Macaca fascicularis: one gene and its partner. The protein of the gene in region 1 interacts with the protein of each later gene in a pairwise test. Links are inferred from orthologs where the notes say so. Each region holds a gene or a part of one and is shown in the gene's direction. Other genes may lie near its edges.

Evidence for each region. The genes of interacting proteins can lie anywhere in the genome.
Region 2: the proteins of TSC22D4 (region 1) and ZMYND10 interact in binary tests that used the Homo sapiens proteins (3 or more experiments, as listed by UniProt). The two-hybrid records come from large-scale screens. The link is inferred for Macaca fascicularis from reciprocal best matches to the Homo sapiens genes TSC22D4 and ZMYND10.

The regions. Positions count from the first base shown.
Region 1 is NC_088377.1:49,047,791-49,053,948, reverse strand, and holds the end of TSC22D4 (TSC22 domain family protein 4), read left to right. Parts: intron 1-3,552; coding exon of another isoform or gene 3,553-3,646; coding exon 3,647-3,695; intron 3,696-4,077; coding exon 4,078-4,287; 3' UTR 4,288-4,723; downstream 4,724-6,158.
Region 2 is NC_088376.1:113,377,244-113,383,401, reverse strand, and holds the start of ZMYND10 (zinc finger MYND domain-containing protein 10), read left to right. Parts: upstream 1-2,082; 5' UTR 2,083-2,224; coding exon 2,225-2,316; intron 2,317-2,577; coding exon 2,578-2,686; intron 2,687-3,949; coding exon 3,950-4,066; intron 4,067-4,183; coding exon 4,184-4,237; intron 4,238-4,355; coding exon 4,356-4,493; intron 4,494-4,593; coding exon 4,594-4,682; intron 4,683-4,781; coding exon 4,782-4,882; intron 4,883-5,233; coding exon 5,234-5,406; intron 5,407-5,523; coding exon of another isoform or gene 5,524-5,541; exon of another isoform or gene 5,542-5,662; coding exon 5,663-5,788; intron 5,789-5,870; coding exon 5,871-5,992; intron 5,993-6,103; coding exon 6,104-6,158. UniProt on the Homo sapiens protein: Plays a role in axonemal structure organization and motility. Involved in axonemal pre-assembly of inner and outer dynein arms (IDA and ODA, respectively) for proper axoneme building for cilia motility.

The DNA.
Region 1 (6,158 bases):
CGAGAGTCCTGCAGGGCTAAGTCTCCCACTGTGCATGTCACACACTGCACAACTCCAGGGGGTGCTGCTCATATTTGAAATCACAGTCAATGCTGGAAGTCACGACAGTTTTCCGGAAGGTGGCATTAAGGGTCTTGAAGAAAGGGGCATTTTCTAATCCACACAAACTTGCTTTTGGGCTTGTGGTGGAGGTAGGTCCTGTCTCAGCAGCCACTACTTTCCTCCCCTGGACCCTGTCAAAGAATTCTAGCACAGTGCCCACAACCCCTCACTCTGGGGTCCTAAAGGGGAAGGCCTGCGTTGCCAGAGTCCTGGTCCCTTGAAGTGTGTGTTAGAATGTTCCAATGGAGGCTGGGCGCGGTGGCTCACACCTGTAATCCCAGCATTTTGGGAGGTTGAGGCGGGCGGATCACGAGGTCAGGAGTTGGCGACCAGCCTGGCCAACATGGTGAAACCCCATCTCTACTAAAAATACAAAAATTAGCTGGGCGTGGTGGCGCATGCTTGTAATCTCAGCTACTCTGGAGGCTGAGGCAGGATAATCGCTTGAACCCGGGAGGTGGAGGTTCCAGTGAGCCGAAATCGCGCCATTGTACTCCAGCCTGGGCGACAAGAGCAAGACTTAGTCTTAAAAAAAAAAAAAAAGCCCCAGTGGAAAGTGCTGTCAGAAACTCTCAGGCGCTAGACAAACAGAAGACAGTCACCTATTGGCCAACAAACGTTTATTGTTGTATTATTCCTTTATCTCTGGCGAGAACGAACACCTTACTTGACATCTTTACCCCTGAGTCTCCGCCAAGCAGGGCCCATGTTCCTATCCCTAGGTATCCACCCGCTTTGGTCTCTGTGAGTCTGTGTAATGTGGTGGAGGGGGGGTATTGGGTTTTCTGTGGTGGCTCCATATCCACTCAGGTGTTGCTGATTGAAATAGCTCAAAAATTACTTTGACCCTCCTGCTGGCAGACCCACCACCCCGCCTTCAACTTCTCCTCTCCCACTGCCCCAGGAGTCCCAGATTCCCTTCCCCCACCCACCCCATCCTGCTCACTCAGGCCTGGTCACCTCAGTTGCTCTACCTGTCAGCGCGTTCTGCACCCAGAGCTTGGATGAGAAATGGAAAATTCCCAGCTCCCTGTGCTCCCTTCCTGGCTGCAGGACCTCATCCAAGGGTCACCTTGAATTGAGTGCTGATCCCCCTGCGGGGAAGCGAGTCTGAGCTGACAGCCAGGAGGGAGAGCTTACAAGGGAGCCCAGGGATGTGGCCTGCAGCCCCTTGAGGCCCCTGCTCCGAGCGGGGCCCAGCTGGGGGCTGGAGGGCAGGACTGGGGATCCCACCACAGCACCAGAGTGCAGGGGTACAAGGGTAGGTCTGGAGCCTCAGGGCAAGAGCCTGGGGCCAGAGTGGTGGGAGAGGGAGCCTTGGAGGATGAGGTCGGCACAAGAGCCTGTGCAGGTCCTGGGCGGTGAGAGTGGGGCTTGAGGGAGAGCCAGGTTCTGGGACCAAGAGCCCAGCGTCTTGGAGCCAGCCTGGAGCCTGGCCCTGGGGGCTGTTGAGCCAGGCCTGAGTCGCCCTCTGGTGGCCACTTCCCAGACTGCAGCCAGACCCTGTCACCTGGGACTCCCACCTCTCTTCCAAGCCCTGTTGCTCCTCTTCCCAATGTCCCATCTCCAAGCTCACTTCCCTTCCTCTCCTCTGAGCCCTCGCTTCCTCTGAGACCCCAGACCCAGGTCCCAGGCCCATAGGCGGTTTTTTTTTTTTTTTTTTTTGAGACGGAGTCTGGCTCTGTCGCCCAGGCTGGAGTGCAGTGGCCAGATCTCAGCTCACTGCAAGCTCCGCCTCCCGGGTTCACGCCATTCTCCTGCCTCAGCCTCCTGAGTAGCTGGGACTACAGGCGCCCACCACCTCGCCCGGCTAGTTTTTTGTATTTTTTAGTAGAGACGGGGTTTCACCGTGTTAGCCAGGATGGTCTCGATCTCCTGACCTCGTGATCCGGCGGTATTTTTTTTTTAAGACAGAGTTTTGCTCTTGTTGCCCCGGCTGGAGTGCAGTGGCCTGATCTCGGCTCACTGCAGTCTCCACCTCCCAGGTTCAAGCGATTCTCCTGCCTCAGCCTCCTGAGTAGCTGGGATTACAGGCACCTGCCACCACGCCTGGCTAATTTTTTGTACTTCTAGTAGAGCCAGGGTTTCACCATGTTGGCCAGGCTGGTCTTGAACTTCTGACCTCAGGAGATCCGCCTGCCTCAGCCTCCCAAAGTGCTGGGATTACGGGCATGTGCCACCATGCCTGTCCCTTTTTTTTTTTTTTTTTGAGACAGGATCTCACTCTGTCTTCCAGGCTGGAGTGTAGTAGCACGATCTTAGCTCACTGCAACCTCTACCTCCCGGTTCAAGCAATTCTCCTGCCTCAGCCTCCTGAGTAGCTGGGATTACTGGCACCCTCCACCATGCCTGGCTAATTTTTGTATTTTCAGTAGAGATGGGGTTTCACCGTGTTAGCCAGGCTGGTCTCGAACTCCTGACCTCAAATGATCCACCCACCTCAGCCTCCCAAAGTGCTGGGATTACAGGTGTGAGCCACCGCACCTGGCCTTTAGGCTGTATTCGTCTTCTAGGGCTCTGGGCTCAGTTTCTGTTGCCGTGGTAACCTTTCCCATTTTTGGTCTTCTCTGGAAAGTCAGGGACCCTCTGGCCAGGTCCCGGGGTCACCCATGATGTGAGCCTTGTGGGGTTTTTTGGTAGTAGAGCACTCATGATCTATGGAAGACCACGAGTACGTCAGAACGCCCCCTACCCCAGCCACCTCCACCCTCTTTCCCAAGGCCTTGAGGGACAGAGGGGACAGGATGGGGTCAGAGGTGGGGAGGGGCCTCCGAGGGCCAGGCCCTTCGTCTCCCTTCACACCCTTTACTCCCCTCTCAGACCCAGGCTTCTGCCCCACGCCCCTCCCCTGGCCCAGCCACCAGCTGACTTCCTCGGCCGGCCCCCTCCCCTCCACTCTGGGATTGGTGCCAGGGTGAGAAGGGGACACTGGCACTGACCGTGTCTGGGAATTCCCGCCCACCGAGGAGCCGAGGGGAGGGGGGGTCCCCGTGTCCCCAAGGAGCCAATAGCAGCCAGGCCTTGCCCTTGGGGGGGGTGGTGTATATCTTTCAGGCCAGCACCCCCGAGGCACTGTCTCCTCTCTGCCCGCCTGGCACCAGCCAGACCCCGCTCTGCCCGGGGGGCTCTGAGCCCCCCAGGCATTCCCTTCACTGCATCCTTCTCCGTTGGGGGGGCGTCTAAGGACCCTTTCCCCTTGGGCATGGCCCAGCCAGGGATCTCTGTCAAGTCCCTGGTGTCATCTTATGAGACCCGAGTGGTGGGGATGGCTCCGGGGCCGCCCCGAAAAAGGGGCTGTGCCTCTTCCCCTTGCTCTCCCCGGGGTGCGTCCCCCATACGAGGGACATCTGGGCCCCCGCCCCACCGGGGCCTGGGAGGCCCTGGGCAGCGGCCCTCAGCCCGCAGGGGGATGGACAAAACCCTCCTCTCCCTCATTCTCTACTGTCACAGGTATAGGGGGGTGTGGGCGGGAGGCTGTGGTCCAAGAAACCAGCACCTGGGAAGGCTCCTCCTCTCCTCCCCTCACCTTCCTGTGTCTCTCCAGTGGCTCCGGAAGCCTGGTTGGCATTGACAACAAAATCGAGCAAGCCATGGTAAGAGAAGCCATCTTGGTCCCAGGAGGTCCCGGCCCCCTTAAGCCATCCCTCCGCCCCAGCCCTGTCTTCTTCCTTACCAGGGAACACCAACTCCCAGTTCCTCCATCCCTCTCCCTGCTGGGCTCCTGGGCATCCTCTGCCCCCTCCTACCGCCACCTGCACCCTTGACTTTGCCCGGCCTCTGGTCTGGCTGCTGGTCCCCATCTCTGTCTTTGAGCTCTGACTCTGCCTCTGTCCCTCGTCCTTTTCCCCTGTCCCTTCCCTGCTTTGTCTCTCATCCTCTGGACACGGGACTCTCTCCCATCCCGGCCCTTGAGGCACTGGGCAGGGGATGAGGCACCCACTCCGTTGACACTGTGCCTGTCCCCGGGGCCCCCAGGATTTGGTGAAGTCCCACCTCATGTTTGCGGTCCGGGAGGAGGTGGAGGTACTGAAGGAGCAGATCCGGGAACTGGCAGAGCGGAACGCTGCGCTGGAGCAGGAGAACGGGCTGCTGCGCGCCCTGGCCAGCCCGGAGCAGCTGGCTCAGCTGCCCTCCTCGGGGGTCCCACGGCTTGGGCCCTCCGCGCCCAATGGGCCCTCCGTCTGAGCCTCCCTTCCCTTACAATGTGCCTTTGGGGCTGCCCGGCCTTTTGTCAGCCGCCTGCCCCCTCTTCCTATGCAGCTTTAATGTCCCCATGTCCCCAGGGTGGGAGTTCAAGGCTCAGTAACGGCCTGGTCCCCCGGCCCCTGCCCCATCTCCTCATCATCCCCAGCCTTGATGGAGGAGGGAGGACTTCAGGACGGGGCATCAGAGGGAGCCCCCTCTGGGAGGGAACCAACCTCCACCCTCCCTCATGGGACCCCCAGCAGTCGACGGCCTGGGGGAGTTGGAGGCTCCCTGGCAGACACCCCACCCCCACCTTGTTCCCTTGAGGTGCATCCTCTCCTCTGCCTAGGGGAGGGAGTGTGGACAGTATCTGGAAGTTCTGGGATTCAGGTTGTTATTAAAATAATAATAATTAAAAATTCTGAAGAAACTTGAATTTGGAGGTTGACATCTCGTTCGTTGCTTGTGTTCAGACTCAGGGGTTGCGCCTGCCATTTGGGGCTTCCCTGAGATCTTTTGCAGACTGGGGAGGTTTAAAGCGTGGGAGATGGAGGGGTTGAGACAGAGACTGGAGAAGGGAGCCAGCGGTTCGGGTCCTGGGAAGGGGCAGGCGAGGATTGGGGGTGGGGGGGCGTCTGCCCACGTGCTGGGCGGGGGGACCAGGAAACAATGAGGTCTTTGGTGGCTGCCCAAGATCCACCCCCAGCTTCCCAGTGTGTCCCCTCTGCGGGCTGGATCCGGGTGGCTGCTTGGGGGCGGGGCGGGGGGCCCTGAATGGGCCCCTTGTCTCTGGGCTGGGTGTGGGCCAGACTCCCTGGGCACACGGTGCCCTTGCCAGGCCTGGCCGGCCGCCGTGGCTCCCACCCCCGGCCAGCTGAGGACGGGCCCTGTGGGTGAGATGGCCCCTCCCTGGCAGCCTGGGCTCCAGTCCCAGGCGGAAGAGTCAGCAGTGATGGAGAAGGACCCCATCTAGCGGGGAAGAGGTGAGAGTTGCGGATGTAGCCCCAGGAGGCCCCTAGCCCCAGCAGCCTCCAAGGAGGCTGACCTGCCTTGGAGTCCGTGACTCTCTGCCTCCTTAGGTTTCCCTAGGTTCATAACCTTGGGCAACTTCTTTGGTTTTTCTTTTTTTTTTCTTCGTTTCTTCTTTCTTTTTTTGAGACAGGGTCTTGCTCTGATGCCCGGAATGCAGCGGCACAAACACAGCTCCCTGCAGCCTCCACGTCCCTGGCTCAAGTGATCCTCCTGCCTTGGCCTCCCTGAACTATAGGTGTGTGCCACCACGTTCAGCTAATTGTCTTTATTTTTGTAGAGATGGGGCCTTGCTATGTTGCCCAGGCTGGAGTGCAGTGGTGTTATCATAGATCACTGTTGTCTTCCACTCCTGGGCTCAAGTGATCCTCCCACTTCAGTCTCCTAAGTAGCTGGGACTACAGGCATGTGGCACTATGCCCAGCTAGAGACGGAGTTTCGCTCTTGTCACCCAGGCTGGAGTGCAGTGGTGAGATCTCAGCTCACTGCAATCTCCACCTCCCAGGTTCAAGCGATTTCCATGCCTCAGCCTCCTGAGTAGCTGGAACTACATGTGCGCACCACCACTCCCGGCTAATTTTTTTTTTTTTTTTTTTTTTTAATTTTTAGTAGAGACAGGGTTTCACCATGTTGGCCAGGATGGTCTCAAACTCCTGAACTCAAGTAATCCGCCTACCTCAGCCTCCCAAAGTGCTGGGATTACAGGCATGAGACACCGTGCCCGGCCTAAATTTTTTGGTAGAGACCATCTCGCTATATTGCCCAGGCTGATCTCAAGCTGCTGGCTTCAAGTAATCCTCCCACCTTGGCGTCCCAAAGTTCTGGGATTACAGGTGTGAGCT
Region 2 (6,158 bases), on another chromosome or scaffold:
CCATCACTGCACCCCAGCCTGGGTGATAGAGCAAGACCCCATCTCAATAATAATAATAAACCTAGAAAGAAACAGATGTAGCTGGGTGCTGTGGCTCATACCTATAATCCCAGCACTTCGGGAGGCTGAGACGGGTAGATCACCTGAGGTCAGATGGTCAAGAACAACCTGGCCAACATAGTGAAACCCCATCTCCACTAAAAAAAATATAAAAAATTAGCCAGGTGTGGTGGTGCGCACCTGTAATCCCAGCTACTCAGGAAGCTGAGGCAAGAGAATCACTTGAACCTGGGAGGCAGAGGTTGCAGTGAGCCGAGATCATGCCACTGCACTCCAGCCTAGGTGACAGGAGACTCAATCTCAAAAAAAGGAACAGATGTGATCAAGAGTGAGTTGGGAGGTCGAGGCAGGTGGATCACGAGGTCAGGAGTTCAAGACCAGCCTGGCCAAGGTGGTGAAACCCTGTCTCTACTAAAAATACAAAAAACCGCGTGTGTGGTGGGTGCCTGTAATCCCAGCTACTTGGGAGGCTGAGGCAGAGAATGGCTTGAACCCAGGAGGTGAAAGTTGCAGTGAGTGAGACCACACCACTGCACTCCAGCCTGGGTGACAGACTGAGACTCTCAAAAAAAAAAAAAAAAAAAAAAAAGGGGGTTGGAGGCAGGGACTGCTCTGGATTAAACGGCCAAGAAAGGCCATACTGAGATGTAAACTGAGCCCTGAAGGAAGAGTATTCCAGGCAAAGTGCAAAACCCTGAGGCAAAACCTCTTTGGAATGTATGAGGTAGGTCCAGGGAAGAAAGGAGGAGAGGAAAGAATCCAAGTCCCGAGGTACAAGACAGGCAAGAAGTAGGTCTTGCAGAGCTGCTGGTAAGCAGCACCCGACCTAGCATTTTGAGGGCCAGAGGTAGTTGCAGAGCCCCTCTCATGTGAGGGAATGATGCCTATACACTTTTTTTTTTTTTTTTTTTTTTTTTTTGAGACAGAGTCTCCCTTTGTTGTCCAAGCTGGAGTGCAGTGGTGGAATCTTGCCTCACTGCAAACTCCGCCTCCTGTGCTCAAGCGATTCTCCTGCCTCAGTCTCCCGAGTAGCTGGGACAACTGGTGTGTGCTACCACACCTGTCTAATTTTTGTACTTTTTTTTTTTTTTTGAGACGGAGTCTCGCTCTGTGGCCCAGGCTGGAGTGCAGTGGCCTGATCTCAGCTCACTGCAAGCTCCGCCTCCCGGGTTTACGCCATTCTCCTGCCTCAGCCTCCCAAGTAGCTGGGACTACAGGCGCCCGCCACCTCGCCCGGCTAGTTTTTTGTATTTTTTAGTAAAGACGGGGTTTCACCGTGTTAGCCAGGATGGTCTCGATCTCCTGACCTCGTGATCCGCCCGTCTCGGCCTCCCAAAGTGCTGGGATTACAGGCTTGAGCCATCGCGCCCGGCCTAATTTTTGTACTTTTAATAGAGACAGGGTTTCACCATGTTGCCCAGGCTGGTCTCAAACTCCTGACCTTAAGTGATCTGCCCGCCTCGGCCTCCCAAAGTGTTGAGATTACAGGCGTGAGCCACCGCGCCCGGCGTGATACACACTTTTAAGGCTCCGGGGCTGTCCGTGAGGATCAAGCGTGGAAGTAAGTCTACAGAAAAGGCTGCCGCAGTTAACCCACGACAGGTGATGACAGTCTGGACATAGGGAGGATGGAGAGAAGTCGTGCGCCCTGGCAGTATTTCAGGAGCCAACTAATGGAGCCGGGACGCGAGAAACAGAGGAATCAGGAAGCCATAAGGAGGAGGTGGAGCAGCGGGTGGGTCAAGATGCCGCAGCAGCAGCAGGAGGAGCTCGTGGGGTCGGGGTTACCCCCATCCCCGTGCAAGCCGACTTGGCGTCCGAGGGCAGAGTCCAGACCACAAGGAACTGGAGCTCAGGAGAGACTCGTGGTCCACATCGCGAGAAAGCTGTGGGAATCCAAATACTGTGGCGATTGGCAGCCCCGTAGGCGAGGCGGGCTGGAGACCCGCCCGGATTTAGGCGCGAGCCACCTCCAGGGGCGGAGCCCAAGCCGCACTGCGCAGGCGCGGCTAACCCGTTTCCATGGCTGCGAGAACTCACGCTCCCCAACCGTCCCACAACTGTCCTGTCCCAGACTTTGGCACCGTCGGGGTCCGTCGTCCCCGAGTGTGTCAGCATCCCCACCCCGGCTGCTGCCCAGGATCCGCCGGACCCCGGCCTCGATATGGGAGACCTGGAACTGCTGCTGCCCGGGGAAGCTGAAGTGCTGGTGCGGGGTCTGCGCAGCTTCCCGCTACGCGAGATGGGCTCCGAAGGGTGAGGCACCCGGGTCAGGCGGAGTCACGGAGTCATTGTCCCTGAGTGGGGGAGCTGGAGCCTGACATGGGGGGAGGGGCTGCCCAGTGTGGAGGGGCTCCCAAATGGGGGAGCAGAGTGTTCCGAGACAGGAATATAATTGTTCCTGAGCCCCCTGTGTCCCCTCAGGATCAGGTTAGGCTTCAATAGGATCCAGCCCCCATCCCCACTCCAAATGCACACACGTGGACCCACATGCACTTACACAACCCTCTGAGGCAGGTGGAACCAGCAGCACGAGAACCTGGAGAAGCTGAACATGCAAGCCATCCTCGATGCCACAATCAGCCAGGGCGAGCCCATTCAGGAGCTGCTGGTCACCCATGGGAAGGTACCCCGAGGTCACAGGCAGGGTTCCTGCCTTCCCCCATACCTCACCTACTCTAACCCTCAGGAGTCCCCTGTGTGCTTTTCCCCTCTGGCCTGGTACACCTGTCCTCCCTGAAGGGGAGAGAGGAATGTGTTACATGTTTCATTTTGTGTCGCTGTTGGACAGGACTCTGGCACACCAGGCTAGGTACAGGGCATGAGTTGATTAGGGAGAAAGCTGTAGGTCCTAAAACAGCTTAGGCTTCGAGGGGAAGGCCCAAATGCTAAAGGCATCTGTGAATTGACTGTAAGGCTGGGGAGGGGGTGGGGAGGGCAGGAGGGAGGGGAGATAACTTAACTGGAAGTAGAACTTTGGCATGGAAGGAGGCAGCCTTCCTAACATGAGAGGGGAAAGTTAGAAACCAATGAGATGGCTGGCTGGAACATGGACCAGGGAGTGTCACCAGCAGATGACCTGAGATATCAATTGACCAAAAAAAAAAAAAAAAAAAAAAAAGCCAGGCATGGTGGCTCATGCCTGTAATCCTAGCACTTTGAGAGGCCAAGACGGGTGGATCACCTGGGGTCAGGAGTGCAAGGCCAGCCTGACCAACATGGTGAAACCCTGCCTCTACTAAAAATACAAAAATTTGCTGAGCATGGTGGTGCACACCTGTAATCCCAGCTACTCGGGAGGCTGAGGCAGGAGAATCGCTTGAACCTAGGAGACAGAGGTTACAGAGAGCCGAGATCGTGCCACTGCACTCCAGCCTTGGTGACAAGAGTGAAACTCTGTCTAAAAAAAAAAAAAGAGTTCCTTTGCAAGAGAAAGGTGGAACTCATACAAGGGGATAGGATAAGAAGAACAGGGCACTGTGAAGGGTCCTGAGTAAGAGTGAGGCCAAAGGCACACAAGAGCCTTAGAGAACCACAGGACAGGGACAAGAGGGAGGGCATGAGCAGAAGGGCTGACTTGAAAGGGACGCCTGAATGGGCGGGGAGAGGATAACGGGGCAGGTGCAGGCAGGGCAAGGCAGTCTGGGAACTGGGCAGGAGCCAGTCACATAAGCATGAGGGACATCCACAGAGGTGTTGGGAGCAGCTGGAAACGAAGGTCCGAAATGCAAGAGAAAAGTCAGGAAGGATAGCCATGGGGTTTGGGATAGTTTAGGGGCCCAGCAGTGTTTGGGGAGATCTGGGCTGAGCTGAGCCAAGCTGGGGATGGGAGGGTTGCCAGGCAAAGGTAGGCCCATCTCATCCCTGTCCTTTACCCCATCCTTCAAAGGTCCCAACACTGGTGGAGGAGTTGATCGCAGTGGAGATGTGGAAGCAGAAGGTGTTCCCCGTGCTCTGCAGGGTGGAGGACTTCAAGCCCCAGAACACCTTTCCCATCTACATGGTGGTGAGCTGGGCCCCTGGTTCATACCTCCTCCCACTCCTTCAGAGGGCTCTGGACTGGGGAGGGGAGCTGGTAGCCCCTATCCCTACCACAGGCCCTGTCCCTCTCTTTGTCTGTCAGGTGCACCACGAGGCCTCCATCATCAACCTCTTGGAGACAGTGTTCTTCCACAAGGTGAGGGACTATCTCTGCCCATGGGCCACAGTTTCAGGTCAGGGCCTGGCAGGAAGGGAGGTTGTATCTGTGTGGGGAGGGCATCAGACACAGAAAGTTTCCCTCCCCCTTTCCCCAGGAGGTGTGTGAGTCAGCAGAAGACACTGTCTTGGACTTGGTAGACTATTGCCACCGCAAACTGATTCTGCTGGTGGCCCGGAGTGGCTGTGGTGGCCCCCCTGAAGGGGAGGGGTCCCAGGACAGCAACCCCATGCAGGTGGGTTGAGGTTACCTAGGATTGTGAAAGCCTAGGTCTGGGTTCCCCAAGGCCTGCACAGGCAAGGGTAGCCCAGCATGAACACTGTGTGACCTCGCAGGAGCTGCAGAAGCAGGCAGAGCTGATGGAATTTGAGATTGCACTGAAGGCCCTCTCAGTACTGCGCTACATCACAGACTGTGTGGACAGGTGGGCAGTCCGACTGGGCCTGGGCCTACCGTGGAGGGCTGGAAGACTGGGCCTGTAGCCTGCCTCTGCTCACCTCCTTCACAACGTCCCTGCCCCTAGCCTCTCTCTCAGCACCTTGAGCCGTATGCTTAGCACACACAACCTGCCCTGCCTCCTGGTGGAACTGCTGGAGCATAGTCCCTGGAACCGGCGGGAAGGAGGTAGGGTCCTCCCACACCAGCCTAAGCCCCAGGCTACTGCTTCAGGATATCTTTTTGATAGAGGGGGCAGTTTGCACACACGAAGACAAACCCCGTCCCCAAGCCCATCTGAGGATACCAGGATGCCTCAGCCAAGAGTGGCCTAGACCTGAGCTCTGCAGCAGGCCAGGCCCATGTGTCCACTACTGAGGCTCACTCTGCTCTGGGGTCAGCAGCATTATAGCCTGGGCAAGTCCTGTGGCCCAGGTTCTCCCACCATTCCCAGGCAGTGGTCAGTCTCCCAGGCCCCACAGCTGGCTCACTTGAAGAGAATGCAATGCCTGTACCCAGTGTGCTGGTTCCTCTCCCCAGGCAAGCTGCAGCAGTTCGAGGGCAGCCGTTGGCATACTGTGGCCCCCTCAGAGCAGCAAAAGCTGAGCAAGTTGGACGGGCAAGTGTGGATAGCCCTGTACAACCTGCTGCTAAGCCCTGAGGCCCAGGCGCGCTACTGCCTCACAAGTTTTGCCAAGGGACAGCTACTCAAGGTCGGACTCCCTCTGCACCAGCCCCCACAGCCCCAGCACCGCCCTCCCCATCCTACCCTGACCCTGTCCCTGCTGTTTATCTTTGCCCACCCACCTCAACCCCCGTGCTCTTTTCAGTCCTTGGGCCTCAGGTGACACACCAGCTAGTGGGACATGGACCCCCACAGGCATGCTCAGCCCAACCCAGCCCCTTCCTTTTCCGTGGCCCCCTGGCCAGCACCTGCATCACACTGGCCTCCACTGGACACTCTTGCAGCTTCGGGCCTTCCTCACAGACACACTACTGGACCAGCTGCCCAACCTGGCCCACTTGCAGAGTTTCCTGGCCCATCTGGCCCTGACTGAAACCCAGCCCCCTAAGAAGGACCTGGTGTTGGAACAGGTAGACACTGGAAAGTTAGCTCCTCAGGACCACTGTCCTACTTTACCAGCACCTTCCTGCCACTCTCCACTCCTTTCCCTAGATCCCAGAAATCTGGGAGCGGCTGGAGCGAGAAAACAGAGGCAAGTGGCAGGCAATTGCCAAGCACCAGCTCCAACATGTGTTCAGCCCCTCACAGCAGGACCTGCGGCTGCAGGCACAAAGGTAAGTCCTGTGGAACTGGCAGGAGGAGTGGATGGGATGCAGGAGGCATGGATGTGGGCAGGGATGCCCCCACCTTCCAAGGCCAGTCAGACCTTCCTGACTTTCCCCCAGGTGGGCTGAGACCTACAGGCTGGACGTGCTAGAGGCAGTGGCTCCAGAGCGGCCC